Canis lupus familiaris: one gene and its partners. The protein of the gene in region 4 purifies or fractionates together with the protein of the main gene of each other region. This does not show direct contact. Links are inferred from orthologs where the notes say so. Each region holds a gene or a part of one and is shown on either strand. Other genes may lie near its edges.

Region 1 (3,966 bases), on a different chromosome or scaffold from region 4:
AGTGGTAAGAAAACCAAGGCTCAGAGAGGTTCTGTTCTTCCTTCCCATAGGCCAAGCAGGAGGGAGAGAAGAAGTTTGGAACACCCCCATCATGATTTTCACTCAAGAATGTGGCTGGTGCCATGGAATGGAGTTCAGAGCTCAAGGCTGCAATCTGATGAAGAAGGGGGCCACAGACTACCAAGGTCTAATTCAGACCTCCAAAGGATCGCTGACCTCTTAGCTATGAATGAAAGGCCAAGAGGCTCACACTGAGCTCCGAGGTCCCTTCCACCTGGCTGAGCACCTCCAAAAGGTAAGGAGACTGAACAGCAGGAGTGGGAGGACTCAAACTCCCTGTGCCTAGTAACCTCTAATTCAACTTGCTATTTTTAAATGTTTCTTGCTACCTAGTCCTGTTGAGCCCCACCCTCAGATTAGGAGGAGGAAGGGCAGAGAGTGGGAGACAGTGTGGAGTGGGGGAAACTCTGACCTGGGGACCTGAAGAACTAGACCCTAGTTCCAGCTCTGCCACCAATTTGTGGAGCAGCCTTGGGCAGATGCCTGTCCACACCTCTGGGCTCTGGTTCACACTTGGGAGGACCGAGTGGGCTGCACCAGCAATCTCTCAGGACCCTTCCAGCTTGGCTGTTTCATGCCTGGGCACGCCCCTCCCCCTGCTCACCTGTCGTAGAAGTCGTCCCGGTAGTAATCATAGTCAAAGCTGTAGCCACTGGGGAAACAAAGGGGAGAGGGCCAGGGCTTAGGGACAGCCACTCAGCCCGCTCTCCATAGGTCCTCATCTCCAAATGCCTCCCCAGACTCTAGGCTCGCCACACTGTCACCAACCAGTGTTCACTCCCTCTGTGGAAAGAGGGACCAATCCCACCCAGATGGAGAGAGACAAGACAGAGCGCCCCACCTGTATATGGCAGATGCTGCTCTCTTTAGCCCCTTGGGTCTGTTAGGCTTGGGCTCTCCAGCCATGTTGATATCTGCGTAGAGGGAGGGAGGAGGCACAGTCAGATGCAGGCAGAACAGTAGGGTATCCAAACATGTATCACCCTCACACACGTGAGCAGCAATTTCTATGTGTTTATGTGAGGTACACGTGGACTTTCCTAACTAAAACAACCAACAGAGGTCTTTACACATTAGATTCATACCCGCACATCACAGAGATACACCTATTTACAAATTTACATTCAGACACCTGCATGCATGCTCACAAACCTCTCACTCACGCACACATGCCATGGGCATCACACATATATATGCATTCTCAAGTACACTCATGTAAATAAATACTGCAAATACATATCTTCACACACATGTTCATGCATCCAAGTAATCAAATAACATAGCTGACTCCAACGTCCATATACGTAACTGCCCATACACAAATGAGCCACTGCACATTCAAGCAAATGTCCTACCAAATCTTTATACCTAGAATGATGCTCAGCATATGACAGACGTGTGTATATAAATATGCATATCTGCTTATATGCACTAGTATATTCTGACACACATTTGCATAAATATACATACTAAAGATGTGTCCACATGTTCTCCACATGCTTAGCTATATCCACATATCACATATACAGATATCTCTTCTTGAACACAAGATACATAGAAGTAGGTGCACTGTACACCCTCCAAGGTAGACGGCCACATGGCCACATCGTATATACACAGCACCAAGGCCAAAGGCACCGCTTTACCTTGTGCTCCCAGCCCCTCCTCCTGGCTCTCATAAAGAGTTCTAACCTAAGCCATCTGTAGCCCAATGTAATAGGCTATGCTAGTCCACCCTTCCTTTTCTCTTAGGAATCTGCATTTTAACTGGAACTATAAGGCTTGTCACTAAGAGTCATTGTGAAAGCAAAGACAAGATAGAAGCATTTTTAAGAAGCTCCTAAAATACTCCCATACAGGCAGATTTTATAACTACTTCATTTATAACTTAAATACAATTTCAGAAAGAGGTAGTGGGTAGTAGTAAGGGAAACAGAAAAGTGCCTAGGGAGGAGCTAGAAAGTGAAGGCTGGAACCTGCTCAGAAAAACACTAGAAGCAGGGCCAAGGAAAGACACTTACCCAGAGTCTGCCCGGCCAGCACCCGCCCATTCTCTCCCAGCACAGCTGCCCGGGCATGACGCTCGTTGGCATACTGCACAAAGGCATAGCCTTTGTGCACAGAACAGCCGGCCACACGGCCATACTTGGAGAAGATGGTCTCCACATCTGACTTCTTCACCACAGCTGTGTTGAGGTTTCCGATGAAGACCCGAGAGTTGATAGACTTGGGGTCATTCTTGTTGGTTACATTGCTTGTCTGGATCTTCAAGGACATGGTGGCCACCTGAAGAGAGAGAGCCACTGTGAAGCTGGGTCCCCCAGATGGGCTTAAAGGCTATCCATGGCCCACATCCTGGCTAAACTGGATTGCTTTGTGCCCTGCTACACATTCACCCCCACAGTATCCAGCCTCTCCATTTTACATCTTGCTGGGCTGCTGACCTCATGGCCAGGTGCTTTATATACGTTCCCTCATTTGGTACTGATATGATAAGCAGAACCAGGACATTTCACAAGGGAAAAAAAATGCACATTCAGAGGCCACAGTGCTAACGAGCAACAGGGTTACAATTTGAACTCTGGTTGGCTTGAGTCTAATTATTTTAACCCCATTCCTTCTTTAATATTTATCTGAAACGTTACCCCATGCAGGATCTAAATTTGAAGACCTTCCACTGTTTTTCTTCTGTTCCTTCCATGTAGAAGAAGGCAAAGAAGTCACGTGGAAACTGCAAGTAATATCGGCTATAACAATGACCACATTATGAAAATTCTTTGGGTCTGATCCAGACATCAACCTAGCCTTTTGGCTTTCTTTACTGGTACCAGCTATTTTTAAAAAGGTGTGCTAAACAAGCCTCATTGAGCACTCTCTGCCGGCTAGGGATGGCATGCAATATTGAGTAATCACAAGACCCTATAAACACTACTATTGTTCATATTTTACCAGAAACAGACCCCAATAAGTTCTTTAACTTGCCAGGAATGAGCACTCAAACTCAGGTCAGTTGGTCCTTACACACCCCCTTTTTTCCCCAGCTTTATCACTCTCCTTTCCCAGAGCTAAAGCCAATGTAATAGTTAAGTCAGCATATTTACCTAAGAATTGTTTTTAATAATTTAGAATTACTCATTTTTATACTGACTCAAATTTTACTGTTTGCTTAGAGAGCATAATGTATCTACTCTTTGCTCTCTACACTCTGGCAATGTCTTTTACCCCAAGGGGCTGTACAAATCTCTCCTACCCCAGACCCTAGACAGGTTGCATCAGAAGACAGGCTCCAGAAGGAACAGAAAGGGAGGCTTGGTGACAGCAGGAAAGGCCTAACATTAAGTACTGGTATTTATACTTCCAGCCCAGCTTTCTGCTCACTGGCATGGGTTAGTACAACTCCCTTTTGTAACACTATTTCAATACCCTGCCGTAGAGCTATTACAGAAGGTGCTAAAGACCCTAAGCAGTATGTATAAAAACTCTCATCAGCCTAGGTTAATAGTAAACACCTGCCTACTAACCTAATATTTTTGGGTGGAGGGAGCTTCTTTTCAGGGAATTAGAGCAGAGTGGAGGATAAGCTGGGAAAGGCATATCTTTTGTTCTGCCAGGTAAGAGACTTCTTCAATCCCTCCAACCTGGAAAAGGGCATCTTCTGACCAGCAGGTGGCACTGATCACAAAGAAACTAAAAGCTGGGGCCTGAGAGTAATTGCAGAGGAAGAAACCCACTCCTATGGTGGGCTTGCAGTAGCTCCACAGATATACTGGGGGCAAGTGTGCACCATCCTAGGTTAAAAAAAGTGGGGGGGGGGGGGGCTGAGAGGGTATTGCTATTGATGAAAGAGTTGGTGCTAAGCTTTGGAAAGGGCCTAGAAGGGACAAACTCTTTGTTAACTCAGTTTAC
Region 2 (4,763 bases), on a different chromosome or scaffold from region 4:
GATCAATACAGGAGGATTCAATGCTAACCTTCTCTTTTGCAAAAACTCCAAATTGTAAAGGACAGACTATCAGCTCTCCAATTCCTTTTGTCAGAACCACTATCTAAGGAAATAGTGGACAGAACTGTAGAAATGCAGAAAGTCCAAATTTTTCCCGAAACCAGATTTTCTCCATCACTCTCATCTCAGAGACCTCTAAGGTTTACTTTCGTGACTTGAAAAACTAAGTTCTAAAACTCTTGCCTAGTGTGCCTAACATTTGTCTGTAATTTGTGATCTTAAGAAACATATCCTGTAGATAATCAAATATATTTTCATACATAAGAGAAAGATACAAGAAGTAACAAGATATGGTATAATTTCACTTCCCAATGCAATGGCTATGAAAATCAAGAAGTCACATAGCAGTACTTTCGTGAGTCTTGATCCTCTGAGTCTACCTTCTCACGTACTTGACAAAATGTAACATTATCGTTATTTTATCATTTACCAATCTGTCACCAAGTCCTACCGATTTAACTTCTGGAATGGTTTTTATTTCCCTCCAATATTTTCCACAAAGAGTATCACTACAATATGGGAACAATTTATAAACCGTTCTAGAAGTCATTCATCCTCCTCATAAGCTGTGTAACTTGTCTAAAACACAGATCTAATTTTTAATTTTAATGTTAAAACTTTTCAACATTAAAAATTCCTTAGTACCTTCTTAGAATATGTAAGTTTAAAAAATTGTTGATGAATCAGTGACATCAAATTGGCTTCTAAACAGGGGCTTTTACACAAACAATAAAGGTACTGTGTAACAATTCCAGTTACTTTAAATATTGTTTTAAATCCTCACAATCACAATTAGGTGGTTCCTTTCAAATTCTTTTTTACAGAGGCTTAAAAATTAAGTGAATTGGCCAAAATCAGCTGGGTAAACATGCTCAGTTAAGTGAACAAGCTCTGGTAAGTCTGACTCCCTTACACTGCCCACCTTTTAGTAGAACCTCTTACAGCCTGTCATGATACATTCTGTATTCTGACCCAGATATTCTTAACCTAAAGTCTATGGAATTTTGGGTGAGTTTCAAACATTCCTATGAATTCTGTGAAATTGATGAAAGATAAATTTTATTATTATTATTATTTTAGATTTTATGTATTTATTCATGAGAAACACAGAGAGAGGCAGAGGAAGAAGCAGACTCCCTGTGGGGAGACCGACCCGGGACTCATTCTGAGGAACCCGGTGTTACCACCTGAGCCAAAGGCAAACGCTCAACCGCTGAGCCACCCAGGTGCCCCAAAAGAGAAATTTTAAACAAAGGAATTTAAATATAAATTAACATAAAATGAATACGTATCAAATATTTTATTTTAGTGAAATTAATCAAGGAATTAGTTAAGTGTTAAAAAACTAGTTCAGGGGACACCTAGGTGGCTCAACGGTTCAGCATCTGCCTTCTGCCTTTGGCTCAGGGTGTGATCCAGGGTCTGGGGGTGGAGTCCCGCATTCGGCTCCCGGCAAGGAGCCTGCTCCCTCTGTCTCTTCCTCTCTCACCGTGTCTCTCATGAATAAATAAAATCTTAAAAAAAAAAACAAAACAAAAGAACTAGTTCTGGAGGGGACACTTGGCTGGCTCAGTCAGTAGAACACGCGACTCAATCCCGGGGTTGAGAGTTCAAGGCCCATATTGGGCATGGGGTCTACTTAAAATAGAGTAAATAAATAATAAATTTTAAAATATTCTATTAAAAAACTAGTTCAAAGGAGAATTAAAAGATCTAAGCAATCAGGAACACTGAAATGAATTTGTTAATAGATGCAAAACTGGTTAGGGCCATAACTACAAAATTGATTAACTACAAGACTTAAGTTCCATTATAATCGTTTCCTACAACTAACACAAATGTAAAATAGCTCAATGATAATGAAAGAGAGAACCTGGAAGAGCCAGCTAGAGAAGACATCCAGTATCTTTTTTCTTGGCCATTTCAAGGTGTTCCACAATTTCCCAGCAAAATCATACGTAAAATGTCTTGACGTGCATGCATCTTCCTAGGATGCTCATCCATAGCCTTTACCATTTTTAGAGGAAACGGTGTCAAAAACGTTAAGTCATTGTTCTACCATGGCTGACCATTCAACGGTACCAGAACACCGTGCCTGTTCTTTCAATTAGTCTTGTCTTTACTTGCCTTATAAACTCCTATTCAATTTTCAAGGCCCACGTTAAATGGCATCTTACTCTCTCCAGCTTTCCACCACCACGTCTCCCCTAATTTATTGCCTCCTCATCTATTTTCCCTCAAGCACATTTATTAACGCATTCAGTACACTCCACTGACATTTATAATTTGTTAGCTCCCTTCCGTAACTGGATTTTTCGATTCTCTGATGACAAAAACTAGAATCCCGAAAATAAGAAAGTGACTTAACTTTAAAAACTTAAGTGCTCACACTCGCTATCGTTTGGCCGCCAACGCTCACATCTACGAGGCCCGGCGATTTCACCTCTGGCTACGGCCCCCCGTCGACACCAGTCCTTTCCCAAGTACGCTGCCCAATACCGGGCGGGCCCCCGATCTCCTAAAGCCGGACGATATGCGCCCCCAATCTCCGAAAACTGGAACTACAAGGGCCGCTGAAGGACCTTTGCGCGTGCGCAGAGGAACAGGACGAGCAAACCGATGGGCTTGTGGGAGGGGACGAAGTGAAAGGGCCGACAGATGATAGAATGGAGCGCGTGACAAAGGACTTAGAAGACTTGAAGCCTCACTCAACCTGAGCGACACGATCTACAGTTTACTTCCAACTTACTCTGTCCAGTTCCCAAAATACTGGGCCGGTGATTTCGTCCTCCAACCTTTCCGTCTCCAGATCCTTATAGAGCTGGTTTCCGCGTCATAGGGTGGGCGACACGGTTCTCCCGTACGCCTCCGAAAAGGCGAGCGCGAGGACGGAGACGGCGCGCCCGGCGCTTGCGTCACGGGCGTGAGCTGGCGCAAGGGGCGGGGCGTCGGGTTACCCGGCTGGCCGAGGAGGCTCACAGACCACGAGAAGTTTTGATTGGCGGTTTGCAAACGTCGGTACTTGTGGGCGGGCTGAGTAGTGGGTCCTGATCCCGTGCGGTCCCGGGTTGATGACGTCACAGCCTTCCGCGGGAGAAATTCGAACGTGTGTTTTACGGACCGGTGAAGTCCTCTGCTTCTCTGGGAGTGAAGGTGGATAGGAAAGGGGATGTGAACGAGAGGCGGCGTCGCAATTTAGGGCAAAGTGTTGAGAGGCTCTATTGCGCCGGAAGCGAGCCGTTGCTGGTGCTGTTTGGAACCAGGTGTGGGGAGTGACAGCCTTTCCAGCCTCTGCGTTGCACTTCCGGCAATAAGTGTAAGGACCAGAGAGAGTTTTGCTCTTTGTGTTTATCTAGGCCTGACAGAGGGTCAAGTCTCACTGCCATTCGGTTACACAGAATCATGGTAATTATTATCTTGGCAATGAAATGTGGGCTTCTCTGGGTCATTTGGACTGAGCGACTTCTTAACAGGATACTGGGTTTGAGACTCTGGAACTTTTAAATCTGAACTATTTAGGGATTCTAAAGATCTTGCTTGTTCCAAAATAAAAAGACCAAAAACATCTCCTCGTACTTAAACATAAATAAGACTGGTTCATATTTTATGGAGAACACAGAATTTTATATATGAATGTATAAAGCAGCATAGGGACGTATGGGTAATGTCTTTGGGGAGGTAATGTGCACATCTGTGGTTATATAATTATTGCAGACATCTGAGGTATCCCTACCGCTTTTAAAACTTTGCACGTTGAACTTTTACCCGTTGGAGGTGGGTCAACATTTGACGTAGATGATTTTTAGAAAAAAAATTTTTCTTAAAGATTTTATTTATTTATTCATGAGAGACACACACAGAGAGAGAGAGAGAGAGAGAGGCAGAGAGAGACACGGGCAGAGGGAGAAGCAGGCTCCATGCAGGGAGCCCGACGCGGGACTGGATCCGGGATCACGCCCTGAGCGGGAGGCCGAGGTCTACTCAAGGGCTGAACCACTCAGGCGTCCCCAGATTTTTTCTTTTTTTCTTTTTTGTTTTTACTTTTCACTTAAATGCCATGTTGTTAGCTGATACCATTTCAACTATTTAACGGTAAACGGTATTTTAACTCCTTTGTTTTTTTTTTTTTTTACTCCTTTGAACGTAGGACTTAGGCCTCTTCTAAAGATTTTAGTATTTTATTTTTTAAAGATTTTATTTATTTATTCATGAGAGCACACAGAGAGAGAGGCAGAGATGCAGGCAGAGGGAGAAGCAAGCCCCTTGCAGGGAGCCCAACGTGGGACTCGACCCCAGGTCTCCAGGATCACACCCCAGGCTGCAGGCAGCGCTAAACCGCTGCGCCACCAGGGCTACCCTCCCTTATGCCTCCTATCAGCAACCAGAGCGATCTTTGTAAAACCCAAGTTAGATTATGTAATCTTATTCTTAAAACCCTACCATTTGCACTCCCTTTATAGAAAATTCAAACAACTTGGCATAGCATAGAAGGCCCTCTGACTCCTATTGCTCATTTTTTTCAATCTTCTCTCTCACTCACTATTCATTGTCTTAACTTGACCCCTTAATTGAACTGAATTCCTTGGTCATGCCTTGGTGTGTCTTTCACAGGACCTTATACATTGATTCCTTTTTGGAAATACATTCCTGGCATCTTCTTTTGGTTATGGTTATTTCAGTTTACAGCTTAGACATTACATTCT
Region 3 (4,755 bases), on a different chromosome or scaffold from region 4:
TCTGTTGGTTCGTTTTGGGATCACCTGAAAGTGAGGGATATACAACAGAAAGTCTTAAAATAAGCCTGGAGAGTTTGCACAGAACCAGAACAGCAATGAGTACAGGGCTTACCTTGATTTGTCTTCCTCTAAATAGTGACTCATCTAAGGCCAAGGAAGTCCTCACTGACTCTTTGTCTGAGAACTCTATATACGCAAAACTGAAAAAAATAATTGTCATTTCATTCATCTGAAGTTACAGCAGCTTACACATCAAATCCAACTTGCAGGTATGCCTGAATAACAACAGGGCCACATATTTATTTATTGGTCAATTTTTTTTTAAAAAGATTTTTATTTATTTATTCATTCATGAGAGACACGGCGGGGGCGGGGGGTGGAGGCAAAGACACAGGCAGAGGGAGAAGGCGGCTCCATGCTGGTAGCCTGAGGTGGAACTTGATCCCAGGTCTCCAGGATCAGGCCCTGGGCTGAAGGCAGCACTAAACCGCTGAGCCACCGGGCTGCCCTGGTCAAATTTTTTTTAAATGGAATACTTCAATCTAAATTTCCACCTACTCTTAAGAAAATTATAAAATAGTATACAAACAGCCTGGATTGCTAAGCAAATGCTGTCCCTCCTTTTTCTTTTTTTTTTTATAATATTTTTTTTATTTATTTATGACAGTCACACAGAGAGAGAGAGAGAGAGAGAGAGAGAGAGAGAGAGGCAGAGACACAGGCAGAGGGAGAAGCAGACTCCATGCACCGGGAGCCTGACGTGGGATTCGATCCCGGGTCTCCAGGATCGCACCCTGGGCCAAAGGCAGGTGCCAAACCGCTGCGCCACCCAGGGATCCCTGTCCCTCCTTTTTCTAGTTCACAATCCCACTCATGCTAACCTTCATCTTTATGTTTGGTCTCTGAAGGCATTTACGTGACCCGATATGTATATGTGACACTAACGCCCTAACCATAAAACAAACACTGCTTATTTTAACAAGTTAACGCTGCTCAATACAAAACATTATTTATCTATTTCTAAGATGTGATTAAAACAACCTCATTTTACTTCTCTACTTACCCTTTAGGATGGCCACTAAATTTGTCACAGAGTATGGTAACACGGTTGACTGAACCACAGCCATGAAAGTGTGCTTCCAACTCTTCTGCTGTTGCACCATAGTCCACCTGTGAGGGTAGAGAAGGTTATATTTCACAGGTACCCTGCCTATCCTCTCCAAAATCACATCAACTCTCGTTCTCTAAGAAGTTAATCTTCTCTTCCCAACCCCAGAGCCTCTGCTGATCTTCATTTCCTTTTACCTCCTCCAAACCCTCTCAATACTCCCCCAACCTACTACCTATCCTTGAAATATTCCTTAAGACTCCTATTAACCAACTCCCCAAACAAGAGCCTTCCCACAACCCCAATCAGGGCCCCAATACATACATTGCCAACATAAATGGAACGGGCATCAGCCTCCATCTTCTCTTCAATGGACATGATCACTGGGCCAGCTTTGAAGAAAAAAGAAAGGGAGGGGGGGGTGGCAAGAAACTGGTTTTCTATTTGACCAATATATGCATCACTACCACCACCACCACTACAGGGAAGGCAAAGATTTTGGTCTGTTGTGTTCCCTGCTGTACCCCTTACCAAGAATACTGTCTAGCACACAATAGATGCTTGGCTGAACATCTGACTAATCAAGCAACAGATTAACATATCCTTAAAAAAAAAATCAGAGAAAACAGTACAGGAATTTCTCTCCTGCTCCCAAATCAAGACCCTATTGAACAGCTTTGACTCAAATCATTTTTAAAGTGAACAAAATCAAGGGAACCCAAACTCAACAGTTCTAGGTTAAAGAGAAAGCCCTCTGCAGTCGAGTAGCTTCTTTTAGGACTCCTAACTAAAGGGTCTCCAACTAAAGGAAGAACTATGAGACTTGAAGGTCAAATGCCAGTTGGCAACGTCCACAAAGAGTAGAGGTAGACTAAAGAACAAAGAACACATTTGTAAAAAGGACAAAGAAAGGCACAAAATTACCATCATCAAAATAGAGATTCTTGCCTCACTAAGGTCAGAAAAAACACACAATGGACTATGACCCCAGCACCTGCCCAGTAATTGCTCATACAAGCAGCTCCAAGGTCCCGAGCATCTAATCCCACACAACCCGTGCTCGCAGAACCCTTCCGAGGACCCGGGCTCCGCGTGCAACCGCCGGTTACTCACCATTGCCTGGAGGTGGACTCATATTCATCTGTTTCTCTACCTCGTTCTGTAGCTCCTTTAACTTCTCAGCTTCTTCCTCCATCTCCCTGACTCGAGCTTTGATCGCTTCCAGCTCCTGTAATGAGTGGAAAGGGTATGGAGAAGAGCTTAAGAGGAACCAACGCAGGGGCTGCGCCCTGCTCTCCGTCCAAGCGCGGCCCCAGCCATGCTCGGCCATTTCCCTCGCCCCACGCGCGGGTCGCGATGAAAAGAAAAGCAAGCTACCTTCTCTGGAACAACACTAGGCACCCATAACGCCCGAATCAACCCGGCTGGGCCCCTTCTGGACGTCGAGGATCCGCGCCCGGCCCTGCCCCAGCCACGTTATTCCCCGCCCACCCCACCCCCCGCCTGCCTCCCGCTCGCCCGAGCTCTGGGCCTCCCGTGACACGGCCAGGCCTGCTCGCTCGCCCTCCTTCCCTCACCGGGTCCTCAATGGCGCCGTCCCCCGGGTCACCCTCGACCAGTCCCGGCTCCTCCTCCTCCTCCTGGCTGCCGGGGGCTCCCGAGCCAGGCCCAGGGCCCGGAGCTCCCGGGGGGGCGCGGGGCCGGGGCGGCTCCTCTTCGGGCTCGGGCTCCGGCTCGGGCTCCAGCAGCAGCTCCTCAGGCTCCAGTTCCTCAGACTCCAGGCCGTTCCCGTAGTCCCCTGCGCCCCCCGGGGCCCCCTCCCCGGCCTCCCCACCGGCCCCGGGCACAAGATGGCGCCGCCGCCCCGGCCCGGAGCCCCGACCGCCCGCAGCCCCCGCTGCTGCTGCCGCCGCCGCCGCCGCCGCCATCGCCGCTCAGACTGGGGCCCGCCGCCCGGCGATTGGAGAACAGCGCCGGGCACGCCGAGGATTCATTAGTCTAGCAACCTGCCCGTCACCACGAGCTAGGACTCCATTGGGGGATATTACTTGGCAATCAAATAAGACCCCACCCCTAAGGCGGGCTATTGCGCCAAATTCTCAAATCCCGGTAGGGGAGCTGGCCTGTCAATCAACATACGCCCCACCTCCTCTCAACCCCTTAGGTAACAATACCGCCACGCTGTGACGACATTCCTGCCTCCCCCCACCCCCACCTCCAGGCGGATCCGCGAGTATATGACGCTCGGTGATTGGCCGCTGGCTAGGGCGAGGAGACAAGGCCAATCTTCCGATCGCCTCGCAGCAATAGCCCTCTCGGATGCCGATTGGCTCGTGAGATTCGAAGGGCTAACATCCGTTTCGTGACAGGTGAACCTTGCCCCGCAACGGACGGCAAGGCTTCCAGCCATGGAAAGCCGAGGTCACATGACTAGTCCTTGGCGGGGGGCCGCCATCTTGACGCTACTGGTCGCCGGCTGGAGAGATGTTAGAAAGCAGTGGCTGGAAACGTTGAGGCGGTTTCTGTAAACTGGTTTGCTAACCAGGAAGCTACCAGTGGATGGAATGTTGCTGGAAATGGAGGTTCTGAATGGAGCTCTCCAGTAAGATGCTTGCTTTCCCCATCCAGGTACCAAAAGGTACCAACACCCATCAGGTCTCCCAAACCAGAAAGCAGGAAGGAATCTTCAGTCCAGAGCTACCAGTCCTGTCTGATCTGTCTTCCTTGTGCAGGCATACTTTCCAAGCCCGCTGCTCATGCCTCAGTTTCAGTTTGTTTCTTGGGCTGTTTGCTAAGCCCCCTAATAGATCTCTCAGCTTCCAGTGTCACTCTTAACAGTCCTCACCGCTACCACAGTGAGCTGGCTCCCCTTTGCTGGCCAGGTAAAAGTAAAACTGTACCGTGGCCTTAGAGACCTCAGGACCAGCCTACGTCACAAATGTTATTTCTACACTCCTCATTCCAGGGGGTATACCTGCACCCAGCTCTGTGCCTCTGTACATGAAGTCCCTCTTCAACCAGACCACTGCAAACCTAAGCATCACCGCTCGTGCAAAACCTTATGCTAGCCTCCTCTCCTTTCCCATGACTAGCAGGCCTACTACCTCCACTGTGCACGTAATCATTTTGTCCTGCATCCTGAGAATTTGGAGAGGAGAGGCTGGATCCTATTTATATTTGCAGCTCCACTGTAGGGCAATATGCTTGGCACATATTGTCAATAAATGTTTGCGTTGACCGGGAATCTGGGTGCCACCCTCATCTTCAACTCTTTCGCAGCCCCCAAACCTTCCTTCAGACCACAGAGGAATTCCTCCAGGCAGGTTCCCACCACAAGTTTCCACTCTGAGATAACCAATGAGACATCACCCTGGAAAGCAGGGTTGCCATATGTAGTAGTGATACTACACATTTATTTAAAAAGAAGAAACAAAGGTGCAAAGTTTGCAAGAGGGTTATTTGTAGCCGGACGCAGCTAGGGTTTGACAGCCAGATTCAAATGAGCCCAATCAAATTAATCAGACAACCCCAACAGGATGTGTGTGTCTGGGGTGAGGAGATTTGGACAAGAGGAGATCCCTGTTAGCAAACCAAAAAGTCAAAAGCGTCTCAGTATACCCCCACTCTTCCCCTCACCCTCACTTTTC
Region 4 (3,966 bases):
TTGAGCTATTACCCAAAGATAGTGTTTGTAGTAGGAGTCCAAATTGCTTAACAGTACAACAAGATCAATAATCTTTTGAGAAATATAACATTATTTAGGGTCTTTACAACATAATTATCGTAACACCCAAATACAATCCAAAATTACTTGACATACAGAGAAAAAGGTGAACAAATCTCAAGAGAAAATACAATCCACAGAACTCAACCTGAGATGACCCAGATGTCAGATTTAGTAGTCAAGAATTTTAAAGCAGCTACTGTAACTATGCACAATGACATAAAGAGAACTCACATTCATATTATGAACACATGCTTATAATGAATGAAATGGTAAGAAATGCCACCAGAGAAATAAAATCTCTCTTTTTTTAAAATTTTATTTATTTATTCATAAGCAACACAGAGAGAGAGAGGCAGAGACACAGGCAGAGGGAGAAGCAGGCTCCATGCAGGGAGCCCGACGTGGGACCTGATCCTGGGTCTCCAGGATCACGCCCCGGGCTGCAGGCAGCGCCAAACCACTGCGCCACCGGGGCTGCCCTAAAATCTCTTAAAAAAAAAAAAGAAAAAAACACCTGATAATTCTGGAAATGAGAAAGATAATATATGAAATAAATTCACTGGATGGACTGACAACAGCAAAATGGACAGAACATTCTGCAAACTTCAAGATATCAGAAGTCATTCAATCTGAAGAACAGAAAGAAAGAAAAAGAGAAAAAGCCCTAGGGACCTTTAGGATAATATACAAAAGTTTAATATGAGTCCCAAAAAGAGAAGAGAAAAAAATGAAGTGAAAAATTTTTTGAAAAAATAGCCAAAGATTCCCCAAGTTTGGTAAAAGACATAAATTTACAGATTCAAGAATCTCAGCAAATTCCAAATGGAGTAAGCACAAAGAAAACCACACCTAGTCACCTCATAGTCAAACTGCTGGAAACCAAAGAAAAAAATAAATGCAACCAAGGGAAAAAATACATTACACAGAGGGGGAAATGATTTGATTATAATGGACTTCTCATCAGATAACAATGGAAGAAAATAAGTGCTGAAAGAAAGGAAACTGGCACAAGAGAATTCTATGTCCAGTGAAAATATGCAAGACAAAAAATAAAATAAAAAATATTTTCACATAAAAGAAAATTAAGAATTTGTCACCTGCAGACCTACACTTTGAGAGGAAGAGGCCAAAAGATACAGAATAGGTCATAACAGATGGAGTAAATCCCAATGTTCCAAATATTTGGAAGATATTTGCAACATTCTTTTCATAGCTGGAAAGAATCTCTAAGATCATCTTGTCCAATCTCTTCATTTTGCAGATAGGCCAACCATTTGCAATTATCTAGTGGTACAATATACTACAGAGTGAGTCTCTTAACTTCTGGGTCAAAGCAATGGAAGGAAATAAAACATACACATTAAGCTTTATAAATAAGTCAGAATACAGTGAAAATAAATTGTTAAAATATAGATTTTTTTTCCTAAAGTTTTGATAAAAACTGAATCTTTTAAGTTACCTTAGGTATTTACTTAAATCATAATGTGAATCTTCTTATATTGTTATGAATTCCTCTATTTTTGTGAAAACTCAATTTTCATTTTTAATTAAATGCAAAATAAAGTGTATCAAAAACACTAGAAGGGAGTCTTTGTTGCATATTTACACAATATAAATGAAGTAATCATTTTGTATCAAAACACAAGAATGATATGCCATTGCACAAAATAGAAATTTTCCTCTGCTGTAACAAGGAACTGTCAATGGGGGTATACGCTGCGTCCTAAGGTATTTCTGATTTTTATAGTGTGTGTGTATATAATGTTCTCTATATTTTATTTTTATGTTCTGTATATCTTTTCAAGTATACAGAACTGAAAATTAGCTCATGAATGAATGAAATATATAAAACCATAAGACACACAGATAAAGGAATTTCCCAACCCCACAAGTCAGGTACATAATGAGAATAATATCCCAATCCTCAGGAACTCATCCCAAGGCTCTGAGAAAACAAGATTCTAAGGTTCACCAAAGAATACATTAATATATTTAAAAACATCACTGAAAAATCATCACCCTGTGTCTTTATACATAGGGTTGGCATGACCTTGTGACATATATTTTAAGTGCTGGACCATAAGCACTTACCCCAATAGCTGGGACTTCCTCACTCTTTACTTCATTTATCCGAACCAAATAGTTAACAAAATCTCTGGCAGCATTGCTCTGTGCATCTTTTTTATTGGTGGAATTGCCCATGCCAATGTAATTATAACCTTCCACTCGAACCTTTAACAGTCAGGAAAAAAATGTATTAGAAGAGACTAACTCAGGTTAATTCTGGGATTTAAAAAATATGTAATTCAATAGTTCATTAAGAGGTAATAGTCAAACTTTGAAGATATACTCTATAAAAACATTGAAAATAACACATCCAAAAGAATTTACAAGCTAACTTATAAGAAAGCTTGAATTGTTTACCACTGATAAATATAAAAACAACAATATTAATTTATATGGTTCAGATATTCTCTTCTGTAACAGAATGTTCCACATTAAAATCTGATTTCATAAGACTCAAGAACAAGCTCGTCATCTGTATTTAAACAACTTAACTTGAGGCAATCAAGAATCTACTTTCTACAGGAATTAGTAAAACTGCAAACAGCAGTACTGGGGAAGCTGAGGAAGATACATGTTCTAACCAGAATTCACCTTTCAGATTTGTTTTAAAAGTAACGCTCACTTGAAAATGATTTATAATGAAACAGAATAGCAGGCAAGCGACAACAAAGAACAAACAACACATTACTCTTTCCAAACAGAAAATACTGTTCTAACACCAAAATAAGTGTCAAAAATCACATAAATGTAAATTGTATTCTGTAGTACCTCACACATGAATTTCTGCCTGTTTTTGTTCCCCACTGCTCTAATTTCATAGGATGGGGTCATCTTCCTTTTGCCACACCAGGCATACAGAAAATTTTTAACATCACCCATGATTCAAGTGTCTTCTTCAGACCTAAGAAAACAAAAGTTACATCACATTATTTATAACAGCAAACACTGCAAAGGACCAGTATCTCTGGTTAACTGAAAATCTAGATTAAACACAGGATATTCTACCAGGCTATTAAAATTGCCTATGACAAAATTTTAATGACATAGTTGGAAAGCCTACAACATGTTATATGAAAGACAGGATATAAAACTACACAATTTGCACTATATAAAAGGATATATGCATAAATCAAGACCGAAAAAGAAATGTCCTTCAAAATGGTTACCTTTGAGTGACTACAAGTGATTCTAAATCGCCCTTTTTATTCTGAGAGAGGAAGAGAGATAATTTTAAGCAGGTTCCAAGCCAGCACGGAACCTGTAAAAGGTCTCTATTTCACCACCCAAGTACCCTTGACCTTTCCTTAAAAACATTTTATGAGGTCTCTGGATAGCTCAGTCAGATGAGCAGGTGATTCTGGATTTCAGCTGGGGTCATGATCTCAGGGTCCTGGGGCTGGGCTCTGCATCAGGCTCTGTTTGGGCAATGGACAGAGTCGACTTGAGGATGCTCTCTGCCCCTCCCCCACTCGTGCATGGGCATGTGCTCTCTCGAATGAATCTTTAAAAAAAATTTTAGGTAATGTCCTCCTTTTTACAATAGGCACCTTATGTGTTTTAACTCATTTAACCCTCAAACAATGGGAGATAATTATATGGTAAATACTATACTATTATCACCTCTATACAAAGGAAGAAACAAGGCAATAGAAAGTTTAACTTCCAAATCACCCACTGTGGAGGCATAAATTAAAACTACAAGATTAAGAAACGGTCATCTATCATGTTGTGTGTAAATCAGAGTGTTTATTCTCATTCTGAGGTGTCTCCTAGCAGACTGTCCTCAAAGTTGTAGGTTATGTATCACACTACTAAGTCCAAATACACCAAGTATTC
Region 5 (4,407 bases), on a different chromosome or scaffold from region 4:
TACCCTGGAGGAAGGTAGCACTCTGTGACCAAATCTTCAGATTTTCTGGAGTTGATTATTTTTTCTGAATGTGGAACTGTTACATTTTTCATTCTCCCTGGCAACTACTGGCTAGCTGGATTATTAGGGAGCGAGCCTTGGGTCCACACTCCGGGCTTCAGTTTTCTCACTGATAAATTTGTGATGGTATCACCTTCCATTGGGTTGTTAGAAGACCAGGTGAGAAACAGAACCCCCAGACCCCCACACTAGGCCTGGCTGCAGGAACTCAGCGGGAAATGCCAGCTACTTAGGTTCTGTTGCTCTCTGGTAATCCTGGTCCATTTGGGGCCCCGGCACCCATATGATTATAAGGAATCAAGGGATTAACGCAGGCCTTTCAAGCGTGGTGGTCAAGCAGCTCAGATTAAGGGGTTTGGTGTATTAGGAAAAAAGAACCACTCCTCCCCACCTACCATCTTCATGATTTCAGGGAAATGGTTTATTTTTCTTTTTAAAGAGAAATTTCAGCAGAAATAAGTGAATGAAGTCGAATGGGAAATGTGAACCTCCAGCGTGAAAACGACGCTAATCGCCTAGGTGATGCCGGACGCCCCAGGATCGGGGAACACCCCGGCCCCACAGCGTCTCCCGCCACATCCGCCGAGAACCAGCGGCCCCAGCGGCCCCAGCGGCCCCGACGCCAGCGGGCTCCACCCCCTCTCCGCTTCTGGCCCGAGGGCGGCGGCAGAAAGAGCGGGAGCGCTGGGCCGCGAGGGCACCAAGGTCGAGGGGGAGCCCTGCCGCTGGCCTTGGGGGGCGCCGCGCGCCCCGTCTCGGCCGCCCGCGTTCCCCCGCTTGCAGCCGGACGATCGGGGCTTGCCAGACTTCTTAGAGCCCCGCTTCCTCTTTTGGGAAAGCGGTGGGCGAAGCTAGCGGTGCCGGGCTGGGGCGCCCCGCGACGAGAGCCTGCGGCCTCAGGCCGCGGAGGGGTCGGCCGCCGGCGCCCTCGGCCGCGGGGGTCCCGGGCCCGGCGGCTCGCGGCAGGGCTGGGGTCGCGCCCGGCCCGGCCGACCTCCGCGGGCGCCGCTCGCGCGGGTTCTAAAGTGAGGACAAAGCCCGCCCGGATTTCGCGTACGCGCGCCGCTGCGGCCAATGGGGCGCTAGCGCGCGTTTGAGTGACGGGCGAGCGAAACCAATGAGCACGCGCCTTGTTGCGAGGTGGGCCCGGCCCCGGCATTATAAAGAGCGCCACGAGTCGGCATTGTCAGGCGGCGGCACCGCGCGGGCCCGAGTGAGCTTGTCGGTCGGTGCGTCTGTGCGGCGCGGCGGCGGCGGCGGCGGCGGCGGAGGGCGCGAGGTCGCGGCGGCTCCGTTGGCGGCGGAGGCTAGGCCCGGCAGCGCAGGCGTGAGCGCGGCCGAGCCCGCGGCGCCTTCCCGGCGGGTGGGGACGAGCGGGCCCCGCGGCGTCATCGGCGGCGAGGTGAGCGGCCGGGCCCGCGGGCGGCGGGCGGGAGCCGGGGCGGGAGCCGCGCGGGCCTGACGCGCCGGGGCCGCTCGTTGCAGGAGCTGCCGCGCCTCGGCCTAGCATGTCGGAAGCGGGTGAGGAGCAGCCCATGGAGACGACGGGCGCCACCGAGAACGGACACGAGGCCGCCCCCGAAGGCGAGTCGCCGGCGGGGTCCGGCACCGGGGCCGCGACGGGCGCCGGAGGCGGGAGCGCGGCGCCCCCGGCCGGCAACCAGAACGGCGCCGAGGGCGACCAGATCAATGCCAGCAAGAACGAGGAGGACGCGGGGTAGGTGCGGCCGCGGGCCGACCGGGGCGCCGCCTTTGTTCCGGGGCCGCCTTTTGTTGGCGCCACGCGGCGGGGGGAGGGGCGGGCGGCCGGGGCCTGCTGGCTGCCCGCCGCCCGGCCCCTCCGCTCGCGGGCTCGCCGTTCGCGCCGGAGTTTGCAGGAGTTTGTTGGGTCGGCTTTGGCGCCGCCCCGGGGCCGCTCGCGCTGGGCCGGGGGCGGGCGGGCGGCCCGGAAAGGGCAGTGCGCTCGGACCCGGGGCCGGGCCGGCCTGGGGTTCGGCGGGGCTGCGTGGGCGGAGTTGGCGCGCGCCCCGGCCGCGGCCTCGCGGCCTCCCCGTTCCCCCCCTCCCCGGGGGCGGAGTCACGGTCTGAACGCGGTCTCCGGCCCCCGGAAGCCTCGAGTTCCTTAAGAGCGAGTTCTCGGGGGTGGCCTGGAGGGGCAGGGACGACGGCCGCTGGAGAGACGTGCTTGTTCGGCACATGGCTCCCTCCGTGCGTTAAGGGCCGATAGGTGCCCGGGCCAGAGTGCCCTTGGCCCCCTTGCCCCGTCGGGGGCCACCGAGTCTGAAGCTGCTCTAGGGTCAAGGTTGTTTGGGAGGGTGGGATTTGTTGACGCCTTCCAAATGTAGGACCCTGGGGGACTCAGGGTAGATCTGTGTGCTAGATGGCGACTTTGCTTAGAACCTGTACCCAGGAAGGGCTGGCACGTGTCTTTACCATTTCAGAAAAATGTTCGTTGGAGGCCTGAGCTGGGATACCAGCAAAAAGGACCTAAAGGATTATTTTACCAAATTTGGAGAGGTCGTTGACTGTACCATAAAAATGGATCCAAACACTGGCCGGTCAAGAGGGTTTGGGTTTATCCTCTTCAAAGATGCAGCCAGTGTGGAGAAGGTAAGCAGGATATTTGATGTCAGTGGTCTTAAGTTCATTCTAAGAGAATACTGATACCATTCTGAGCATGATTAGTTGGTGTGTTCTGTAGGTGGTTGAGCTTTGGGGAAAAACAGGTGAGGAACTTAACTGTTTTTGAAGGGATTAAAAATACAGATTAAGGGGTGGGTAGTAGGTATGGACTCAGGTCGTGCAGGAAGAGTTTAATTGGTGTTTGATGCCTACACTGGCACTGATAAAGCCATTGTTTTATGAGCACTAGAATAAGGAGTCTAGAGTTGCTGTGGAGTAGGCATTATTTTAGTCTCATTTTACAGAAAATACTCAGAAGTGTAAGTAGAAGAGTTTATACACCAGAAAGGGGTGGTTTCCAACCGAGCAGCCCACCCTCAGCCTGGACTCTTCATCACCGTTTCTTTACTTTTGAGAGACCAGCTTTAAACTGCTGCTCCTGGGAAAGCTGGTGGGGGCCGGGGTGGGCTGTAGGTATTCAGATAAAAGAGCTGTACTTGAAGTTAGATGAAGTTCGGTTGCTAAGTCAGATTGAGGGTAGTTTGGAGGGGATGAACAAGTTTGTGTACCAGTGTTGGGGCCTGTGTGGCTCAAGGAAGGGCCTTGGTGAGGGTGGTGCTGCTGAGTTAAAACTTGGTTTTCTTCTGTTGGGACAGGTTCTAGACCAGAAGGAACACAGGCTGGATGGCCGTGTCATTGACCCCAAAAAGGCCATGGCCATGAAAAAGGATCCGGTAAAGAAAATTTTTGTAGGGGGTCTGAATCCTGAAGCCACTGAGGAGAAGATCAGAGAATACTTTGGCGAGTTTGGGGAGGTGAGTGTGTGACTTTGGGAGTGACTTGCCAGTTGCCTTGAGCTTGCTTTCTCCCTTGGCTGGCCATTGCCCTCGTCAGCAAGGCCTTCCTAGGGTCTTTTCTCCTTGGAGATCCCTACGGGTCCTGGGGGCTAGGTAGGAAGAGGCATTATTGGTTCTGAGCTTTGCATATATTTACAGATTGAGGCCATTGAGCTTCCAATGGATCCAAAGTCGAACAAAAGACGAGGTTTTGTCTTCATCACCTTTAAAGAAGAAGAACCTGTGAAGAAGGTTCTGGAGAAAAAGTTCCATACCATCAGTGGAAGTAAGGTGAGGTATCCAACTCTGTATTTTGGCCTCCTGCTGCTGGAGAGCTGGCTCTCACAGGTGTGGGTTAGGAGTTGGGCTCCCTCTCCAGGGCAGTTTGACCCTACTGTTATTTTTTTTTTTGCAGTGTCTGCTGTCCTGATTGGGGCAGATGGTCCTGTCCTTCAGGGAGTCCCTAGGCTGGTGGCATTGGCAGAAACCCAGGATGTGTGGGAGGCAGGAGAAAGGGTGGTTTGTATGGGATGGAGCATGTTGAGTAGCCCCTTTGATTCCTGACTGAAAGCTAGAGATCATGCTGTTCTGAGTCTAGAATCCAAGGTGAATATGGCCTGCAGTTAAGGTCTCAGAAGATTCTAGAATTTGTTATTTATGGGTTGGTTTCCTCTGGGTTGAAGTCTTTCCTACTGTGGAGCTTTTCCCCTTCTGTCAGAGCCAAATCTTTGTTTACTTCTATCCACTTTGGACTCTGATTAGTTAACTCCCACCTCAGGTGAAGATTCTTCCCAAAGCTTCTAGGGTTTTAGTTTTAGCTTACCCATGGCCGGTTTTGCCTTAAAAATGAGTACAGTGCTGTGCAGAGAGAAGTGCAGCCCTTCCCTCT
Region 6 (3,966 bases), on a different chromosome or scaffold from region 4:
TTGTCTTTAGGATTCTGAATAGAGACAATTCCCAAGCACCTGTGAATGATTTCCTGTGAGTTTTCCAGGCTCTGGGCCTCCTGGCTACAGCCTGCTCTGGCTCCTTTCCTGCTTCCTTGCATGTGTACCTTAGACTGGGCAGGGAGAGGGGAACAGGAAATCCATTTTGCCACTTGTTAGCAATCCAGGTAAAAGGTTTGAAGATGAGAGGTAGAAATTAGTCTCAAAGTGAGTCCTTTGGATTGTCTCTGATTTCACTTATCCTTGTCTTTCCCCATATCTTAGAGAATGGAAGACTGACTGTAATTTAAATGTTTACTATTTGTTATTCAGGAATTCAGTCTTTGAAGCTTGCTTGATATCTGTACTAATGTAAATCTTGGAACTTAAATGTGTGCATATCTGGCTTTATCTTTGCAGCTGCAGTGTGAGAGAGGGTATGGTATCAGAGAAAAGGAATTGGGCCTCTATTTCCGATCCTAGCTTTGCAGTAAAGAGAATATAATTAAGGATGAGTTATTGGTCTCTTTATGCCTCATTTTTCTTGACATGCAAACCTCAAACCTTGAATGATAACAAGTTTCTTTTCATTTGACTAAAAGTAACATCAGCGGCAATCCTAAATAGGCACCATAGTGTAGTTAGGTGAGTCGCCTTTGGTGTCAGACAGATCTGGGTTTAAATCTCAGTTTCTTCTAGCTATGTGACCTTGGGTAAACTACTACTTTTTTGAACCTTAGTCTCCTCATCTGTAAAATGGGGATAATACCTACCCAAGTAGGTCTACTGTGAGAATTAAACGAGAGACTATGTATTAAAGTGTGGAGCACAATGCCTGGCAGTTAATAAGTCCTTCAGAAATGGTAGCTATTACGCATTTAAGAAACAGAAATTTGAAGAAAAAAAAAAAAGAAACAAATTTGTACTCACATGAAGCGAGTTTTAACATTATTCTAAAGCATGATCATATTTGAAATGTTTCTTTACTTTTGGAAGGCAATTCGTGATTTTCTATAACTGTTCTGTTTCTTCTACAGGATTTTTTTTGCAGACCTTAACTTTGGGATTCCCTTTATTAACTGTTTTCGGTATTTTTTGAAATACGTACTTTCTCACTTAAACTTTAGTGATACTGTAGATAATTTGGCTGTGTGTTCAATCTGTAACTGCCCTTTTTTTTTTTTAACCTTCAAGTTATTCAAAGAGGAAAAGATATTCCCTCCTAGGTGACTATTGGACTCTTTAAAAAATCAGTGGTATGGTGTCATTTTAATTCTCTTGAAACCTAGATTTTAACCCCCACTACTGACCCTCCACACAGGAGGCAGCAGAGTGGCAACAACAGGAGTGGGGAAGGTGCTGGAGAAAGGCAAGATTGTTGATGAAATTAACTCTTTGTTTCCTTAGCTTTTTTCCCCTTCAGTGTCCTTCTATGAAAGGATCATGAAATGCCCTGGAGAATTGGATAGCACTGTAGGCTCCTGCTGTTTTCCTGCTCAGGCCAGCCAGGGTTTTGAGTCCATGCTATCAGTGTTAAATTAGTAACCTTGTGATCTGCAGCATTAATTCAGAGGATCCCCTAATGGTTCCAGTGGGCTGAGGATTTTTAAATTTTTCTCAGTTAGTGGAAGCTATGCACTGAGGGAATCCTCAAGTTAAGACCTACAAGAAAAATCAGCTGTGAAGGCAAGTCACACCCATCCCTTTAGGCACCAAATTTCAATGATCTGGACATTTTCAAATGATGTAGATGGCATTCATATCAGCGTTTCTTATGTAAATTATTTGTAAATGAAACAGTGATATCCAGTGATAAAAGCAGAAAAATAAAAGCTCCACTTACTAAATTCCAAAGTAGTGAGTCTCCAACTTCTCAGTGCGTCAGTATCACTAGAGGAGCTTATTAAAGATACACTTGCTCTGGTCTCCTCCTCCTGCTTCTTAGTCAAAATCCCTGGGCATTTGTATTTTACTAAGCTTCCTAGATGAGCACCAAAGTTAGAGAATCACTGTGGTATGATGGGTCGTGTTGTTTTGATGGAGTATTAATTTAGTTCTGATAGGATTAACATAACCTAATTTTAAGAAAGGAGTGTGTATTTGGGTTATCTTTATATTTAAAACAGAATAAAGAAGCTTGCCATTATCAGCTTTTGCTGAGGATAAAATTAGCTGTTTTGGATGCCTCCTTGAGTTGAGAAACGTTTCTAGATCTCTGCTTGGTGTGGATCAGATTTTCTCCTCAAAGAGGAGGCAGTGTCTGAGTAGTATAGTCTTAGGGAAGTAGAAGGCAGTGTTTTAGAGCCTGGCTGACATTCCCAAATTTATTCAAGTTTTGGTCCTTCTCGGATTGTGTTTTCAGACAAGAGACCACAAACGCATGAGAACATCTTAATTTATATGAGATACTACTATGTTTTTAAATCAAATTTGCTATATTTCTTCCATGAGAAGTAATTGGAAGACAATTTCTATTTGGAGGACTTCCAAATAATCAATGTTTAATATTTTAATATTTAGGAAAATGTTTTCTTAATCTCTTTGTTTACCTCCATTTTTCAAAGCATAGTTTTGTCATAGAGTGCCGTTTAATGCTAGTCAATGATATGTATATCTTTTGGTGTTTATAAAAACAAAAAATGGGGATGAAGGGATAAATTGCCAAGATAATGACCAGGCCTTTTAAACCATGGCCATAAAAAATGTTCAAGGTCCAAGTGACATACTGTAGTCCACATCAGGTATCATGAATTGAGAGCTCACAATTTTCATTGTAGGTGTTTACAGTACAGCTAACACTTGGAGATCAGCACTGGGAAGCTGAAGGAACTAGTATTAAAAAAGCCCAGCACACAGCTGCTGCCAAAGCTTTGGAAGGAACAAAATTTCCTAAACCCATAGCCCGCCCTTTTCGTAGCGAAGGAAGGAATCCAGGTATTATGCGTGGGCCAAGACAGGTTCCTTTCAAAAGTGTGTTTAGAGGTACCCATTCAGTATGTATATGAATTCTTTCTTAACTAACGTGTTGATTTTGAAAGCACAGTTTCTACACTATCAGTGGCAAACGCTTACCTTTTCAGAATCCTTCCCCATACTCTAAAGCATTGGTTCCCAGGCTCTGGTCCCAAGGATGGACAGAAGGTCCTGAGGCGGGGGTGTGTGTCACCAAACAATTTCCAAGATTCCAGAAAAGCTTAGCACAAATACCTTTTGTTCCTTGATAAGGTTGTACAGATTGCCAAGAATGTAGGCTTTAGCTGGAATCACTTCAACCCAGGGTGGAAATATCAATTTTAACACGTTGATCAGAAACCCACATTGTCATACATGCCTCCTGATCATTAAACAGAAGGAGAAAATAACTTAAGTATTTATTACTCAAATACTATTAGTAGCTATTTCTTCAAATAAGGGACCCAAGCAGGGAGAAGAGTAACAGAGAAGAGCATCTGGTAAAAGCTCGGAAACCACTGACCTGCCACGGTGGGTGGGAGTGGCTGTTGTAGCCACATTACCTGTGAGTGGCTGTTTTAGCCACATTACCCGCCGGGCACACGAAGCCATCCCAGTCCCTTTGTACACAGGAAGAAATCCGGGAGATCTCAGCCATACCTTTCTTGTTGCTTTTAATTTCTTTGTGGTGTTTCGGATTCATTCTCCACTGCAGGTAAATTTTATGGGTCAAAACTGCTCTTAAGATGATTCAGGTTATACTTAAAGTGCAGTTGTTTGAATCATAAAGAAAATTTCTTTTGTTTGAAAGAGGCTGGTTATTTCTATGACCCTCTGATTTTGCAAACCCAAAGATATTCTTATAAATTTGATTCATGCACTAAATTTAGTCTAACCAGTTATGGGACAGAATCAAGTCATTTTTTATTTTCCTAAAGAGGCATTTTAAAGTGAATTTTTGTGTGCATTTAAGTTGAACTTTGCCATTGCTAGTGTTGTTCTGTGTTTGATGTG
Region 7 (3,966 bases), on a different chromosome or scaffold from region 4:
GACATCATGTTTCATGAGGCGCATGCGCGCATCTCGGGGCCAGCACTTCTTGTTATTATAGCCAACGATATTTTCATTGTTCGGGTCAGGATGCTCTGTCAGGTAACGCTGGATCAAGTCCCGAGCCTCATCTGCTGTGAACCTACACCAAGCAAGATGCATTGCTGAGATCCAAATAAACTGGGAACTCACAAGACCTACAACTCCATAGATAAAGCCCACCTCCAACTCCCACCCTACTCCTAGGACCTTCTTTCGGTTTTAGAGCCCAAGCCAGCAACAAGTCAACTAACGTACGATAGCTGAGTCCAGAGGCTGGGGACATGCCTCAACGCCCTGCCAGGATAAGAATCCAGGCAAGCCCTCACCTGAAAAAAATATGGATGCGATCGATGTATCTGCAGAAGAGACGGATGGGGTGGGCAGCCTCAGTGGCTATGTCCTGGAAACTGAGAAAGTCATTTGGCATCTGAGGGGGCCCAGCCATCTCACTGGCCCGGTGCAGTCCCAACACCAGCAAATCCATCACCAAACCATAGTACTGCACAATGAATGAGGCAAATTGCAGGCCTCTAATGATCCCGTAGGAATTTGTATGGTTCATGTCCTAGAATGAAAAATTGAGAACTCTGAATAATTCTTAACTCATAGCCATGTCCCAGGCCTCTCTGGGGCCCATCCTGTTTGGTCTTCCTTTCGGCAAATCCTTCCTCACCCAGACACAGCCCCTCCAATTCCTTGATACCTTGCCTCCAAGACACACCTTATAGTTGATGACGACATTGTTCTTGGCTGTCATGTAGTCAGCTATGTTGTGGTCTACAATGAGTCGCAGCAGCCTATTAAGCAGGGTCAAGTCAATCTTTTCATACATCTTCTCAAAGCGTGATTCCAGCATGACATTGCACTCGCCCTCACTTGTCTCCCACACATCTTGCAGATTATTGATGCCTGAGTAGGCAAGAGAGATCTCCAGGTTAGAAATTCCCTTCCAAGGCTAGTACCTGCAGTCCACAACCTCATCCCACTAATATTCCACTCATTCATCAGGACTGCTAGGAGTGTCAGCTTTGCTCAGTTTAACATCAACATTATTTCCTTGGCACTATGCAACAAGAGTAAGCTAATTATACTACCTGGATGAGAATTTCGATGTAGAATTAAATCAACCCAATTCACCTCAGTTCCAAAGGGCAAAGCAAGAAAAACTTTACCTTGGCACCACTTGTAAACAAGCAGAGGAGGTGGTTCTGTGTCGGCAGGCTTGATCCAGGGTGGGAAAAGGCGGCGCTTGTCAGCTTCATACCAAAGGTACTGGTCCAGGTAGGCATCAGTGATCTTCTCCAGTGGCTCTACATCATATACTGGCACCAGGTGGCTATAAAGATCCATGAACTCAATGCCCACCTGTGGGACAGGGAAACTTACTCAGATCCACCAATACCTGAAGCAACCTGCTACCTGGTGCCATACGTGAATAGCACAGCCAACAGAAAACTAGGGGGAGGGGGGAGCATTTTACTCACTTCTTTAAAGGCTCTCTGTGTGAGGAGGTGACGCTTGATGCGTGACAGTGCCTCATGGGGATTGTCATAGGCTTGCTCGATCAGACCTAGCTCTTCCCTCTGAGACTGGTTTAACCGAGACTTCACACTGACAAAGAAACAGGAAAGATGAATGGGAAAACCAAGAGGAAGCCAAACCCAGAAAGGCCTAAGGCTAAACCTTCTTCCTTTGGACACTAACTGTGATGCTGTCTTCCTACTTTCACCTTCCCAAGGGAATCCTCCTACTGTACTCCTCACCTGTAAGCTTCCTTGAGCCGCTCCAAGGCCAAGATGAGCAATTTGGTGTCATGCTTGTAGGAGAGTGGGGGAAATGGGATGGGTGAAAACCTCCGGCTCTCCAACCAATGCACAGTGGTGGTATACACTGCCACCGCTTCCTCTGCTGTGATGTATGGCCCATCCTGCAAAAGACATGATAATCAACCACTGTAGCCTAATCCCTACAGAATAAGACATAGTCCAACTCTGCAATCTTCCCTCTGCCCACTCCCCATGCCTAGCCCAGCCTAAGCTGCACGACCTTCAGGTAGTTGTGCTGTCGCTCCTGTTCTGCCTTGAGATAGAGCCGAGTGAGGCGCCCCAGGTTCTTTTTGCAAACAGTCTTGTCCACAGTGGCTCCACGGCGGATTCGTTCTCGGTTATAGTGGGCAGTGTTGGTCCACCAATCAGCCTTGGCCTTCACATATCGAAGGATCATATTCTCTATGGGTGTTGGCAGCCCAGGTACCTGCAAGTACAAAAGGCACAATGAGAATGTGATAGCAGTCACACAGCTCCCAAAGGGAGTCCAGGAGTGATAATCCTAACCCCAGAGAGATGATGTCCATGCCTTCTTGGAGTGGGGCAACACCTACCTTCCAGGGAATATTGGCCTTCCAGCAGCGCCAGGCTTCACTGAGGTGCTGCAGGATCGTCCGGGCCTTGTTCTGTTTGATTCCCTCAGGCATCATGTCCAGAATGTCATGCATCACAGCTGCCCGAAGCTCCAGGTCAAAATGCGATTCCACTCGCTGCTTTGTTACAGTCTTTGCCACCCCCTTGGAGTGTCGGCCTAGAAATGAAATTTTTTTATAAGAGTTTTTAAAATTTATTTATTCAGAGAGACAGAGAAAGAGAGAAAGGCAGAGACACAGGCAGAGAGAGAAGCAGGCTCCACGCAGGGAGCCTGACGTGGGACTCGATCCCGGGTCTCCAGGATCACACCCCGGGCTGCAGGCGACGCTAAGCCGCTGCGCCACTGGGGCTGCCCAAAATGAAACTGATTAAAAGCAAGATTCATGGCTTTCAGTAAGCCTCTACTACCATGCTTCCTATTAATCATGGTTACACTGAAATCAACAAGCATAAATAGTGTCCAGGGGATCCCTGGGTGGCTCAGCGGTTTAGCACCTGCCTTCAGCCCAGGGTGTGATCCTGGAGACCCAGGATCGAGTCCCACATCAGGCTCCCTACACGGAGCCTGCTTCTCCCTCTGCCTGTGTCTCTGCCTCTCTCTGTCTCTCATGAATAAATTAATGAAGTCTTAAAAATTAAAAAAAAAGTGTCCATATGCCTAGCACATGCAAAAATGACAAACTATTTCAGACATTCACAACTACGCTTCTGAGAAATTTCCATCCTTCAAATGCAAGATAGCTTCAAGGCCCCAAAGAGAAACCAAGAAACACAACAGTAGGTCAGAATCACTAGAGAATGGGACCTACAGGCAATCCAGCAGGAAGGGATAGAATGGGAACGTAAGATCTACCTGTGAAGTGATAAAACAAACTGGACACAGAGAAAACCACTCACCTTCAAACTGTCGGGCCAGGAGGTTGCCCAGCCACCGCTCCAGCAAAGGGGTGATGCCACGCATGAAAAACAGCCAGACTCGCCAGCCAGCAGCCCAGAAGCCACAGCCAGGGCCCTTTCCTACAGGGCCCTGTGGTCCCAAGCAGTAATAAAGAACTTAGGTTAGCAATTGATTTAGAGAGCAAGAAAAAACTGCACACACAGATGGGGTCAAGAGGAACACATCTCAGGCAACAGAGGGGCAAAGAGGCAAAACTCTGGGACCTCAACATCAAAAATGGAATAAATGAGAAATTCTAACACAGAAACCAGTAACTGGGATTCTCTATTTAAAGGCAGGCTTCAATGGAAAGTGTTACAATTAATAAGGTGAGGGCAAGTAATGAAACGCTCAGAACCTTTCTCTAAATTGGTCCCCGGAAGGAACGCTGACTAGACATAAAAATTAAAATGGATCTGAGACTCGGGGTCATGAGATTGAGCCCCATATCAGGCCTCACACTCAGTGTGGACCTAGTTAAGATTCTTTTTCTCTCCCTCTGCCTTCCAAACACAATGAATGAATGAATGAATGAATGAATGAATGAATGAATGAATGAAAGAATGA

The links.
Region 1: the proteins of DHX9 (region 4) and RALY purify together in Homo sapiens (affinity purification with mass spectrometry; 3 studies listed by BioGRID and IntAct, with this or other methods). This does not show direct contact. The link is inferred for Canis lupus familiaris from reciprocal best matches to the Homo sapiens genes DHX9 and RALY.
Region 2: the proteins of DHX9 (region 4) and LARP7 purify together in Homo sapiens (affinity purification with mass spectrometry; 3 studies listed by BioGRID and IntAct, with this or other methods). This does not show direct contact. The link is inferred for Canis lupus familiaris from reciprocal best matches to the Homo sapiens genes DHX9 and LARP7.
Region 3: the proteins of DHX9 (region 4) and PABPN1 purify together in Homo sapiens (affinity purification with mass spectrometry; 4 studies listed by BioGRID and IntAct, with this or other methods). This does not show direct contact. The link is inferred for Canis lupus familiaris from reciprocal best matches to the Homo sapiens genes DHX9 and PABPN1.
Region 5: the proteins of DHX9 (region 4) and HNRNPAB purify together in Homo sapiens (affinity purification with mass spectrometry; 3 studies listed by BioGRID and IntAct, with this or other methods). This does not show direct contact. The link is inferred for Canis lupus familiaris from reciprocal best matches to the Homo sapiens genes DHX9 and HNRNPAB.
Region 6: the proteins of DHX9 (region 4) and STAU1 purify together in Homo sapiens (affinity purification with mass spectrometry; 6 studies listed by BioGRID and IntAct, with this or other methods). This does not show direct contact. The link is inferred for Canis lupus familiaris from reciprocal best matches to the Homo sapiens genes DHX9 and STAU1.
Region 7: the proteins of DHX9 (region 4) and PRPF8 fractionate together in Homo sapiens (co-fractionation; 3 studies listed by BioGRID, with this or other methods). This does not show direct contact. The link is inferred for Canis lupus familiaris from reciprocal best matches to the Homo sapiens genes DHX9 and PRPF8.

The regions. Positions count from the first base shown.
Region 1 is NC_049245.1:23,759,745-23,763,710, reverse strand, and holds part of RALY (RNA-binding protein Raly), read right to left. Parts: intron 2,347-3,966; 5' UTR 2,338-2,346; coding exon 2,082-2,337; intron 975-2,081; coding exon 902-974; intron 713-901; coding exon 665-712; intron 1-664. UniProt on the Homo sapiens protein: RNA-binding protein that acts as a transcriptional cofactor for cholesterol biosynthetic genes in the liver. Binds the lipid-responsive non-coding RNA LeXis and is required for LeXis-mediated effect on cholesterogenesis.
Region 2 is NC_049253.1:7,465,567-7,470,329, forward strand, and holds the start of LARP7 (la-related protein 7), read right to left. Parts: upstream 2,988-4,763; 5' UTR 2,810-2,987; intron 2,637-2,809; exon of another isoform or gene 2,428-2,636; intron 1-2,427. UniProt on the Homo sapiens protein: RNA-binding protein that specifically binds distinct small nuclear RNA (snRNAs) and regulates their processing and function.
Region 3 is NC_049229.1:3,702,319-3,707,073, reverse strand, and holds the start of PABPN1 (polyadenylate-binding protein 2), read right to left. Parts: upstream 3,045-4,755; 5' UTR 3,037-3,044; coding exon 2,686-3,036; intron 2,337-2,685; coding exon 2,222-2,336; intron 1,501-2,221; coding exon 1,433-1,500; intron 1,171-1,432; coding exon 1,064-1,170; intron 201-1,063; coding exon 113-200; intron 25-112; coding exon 1-24.
Region 4 is NC_049228.1:16,115,578-16,119,543, reverse strand, and holds part of DHX9 (ATP-dependent RNA helicase A), read right to left. Parts: intron 3,032-3,966; 5' UTR 3,010-3,031; coding exon 2,899-3,009; intron 2,296-2,898; coding exon 2,155-2,295; intron 1-2,154. UniProt on the Homo sapiens protein: Multifunctional ATP-dependent nucleic acid helicase that unwinds DNA and RNA in a 3' to 5' direction and that plays important roles in many processes, such as DNA replication, transcriptional activation, post-transcriptional RNA regulation, mRNA translation and RNA-mediated gene silencing.
Region 5 is NC_049232.1:3,624,952-3,629,358, reverse strand, and holds the start of HNRNPAB (heterogeneous nuclear ribonucleoprotein A/B), read left to right. Parts: upstream 1-1,268; 5' UTR 1,269-1,462; intron 1,463-1,545; 5' UTR 1,546-1,568; coding exon 1,569-1,777; intron 1,778-2,501; coding exon 2,502-2,670; intron 2,671-3,338; coding exon 3,339-3,497; intron 3,498-3,677; coding exon 3,678-3,809; intron 3,810-3,810; exon of another isoform or gene 3,811-4,407. UniProt on the Homo sapiens protein: Binds single-stranded RNA. Has a high affinity for G-rich and U-rich regions of hnRNA. Also binds to APOB mRNA transcripts around the RNA editing site.
Region 6 is NC_049245.1:36,467,331-36,471,296, reverse strand, and holds part of STAU1 (double-stranded RNA-binding protein Staufen homolog 1), read left to right. Parts: intron 1-2,777; coding exon 2,778-2,982; intron 2,983-3,966. UniProt on the Homo sapiens protein: Binds double-stranded RNA (regardless of the sequence) and tubulin.
Region 7 is NC_049230.1:45,763,323-45,767,288, forward strand, and holds part of PRPF8 (pre-mRNA-processing-splicing factor 8), read right to left. Parts: intron 3,490-3,966; coding exon 3,360-3,489; intron 2,620-3,359; coding exon 2,423-2,619; intron 2,296-2,422; coding exon 2,089-2,295; intron 1,970-2,088; coding exon 1,806-1,969; intron 1,654-1,805; coding exon 1,527-1,653; intron 1,408-1,526; coding exon 1,215-1,407; intron 952-1,214; coding exon 764-951; intron 608-763; coding exon 369-607; intron 143-368; coding exon 1-142. UniProt on the Homo sapiens protein: Plays a role in pre-mRNA splicing as core component of precatalytic, catalytic and postcatalytic spliceosomal complexes, both of the predominant U2-type spliceosome and the minor U12-type spliceosome.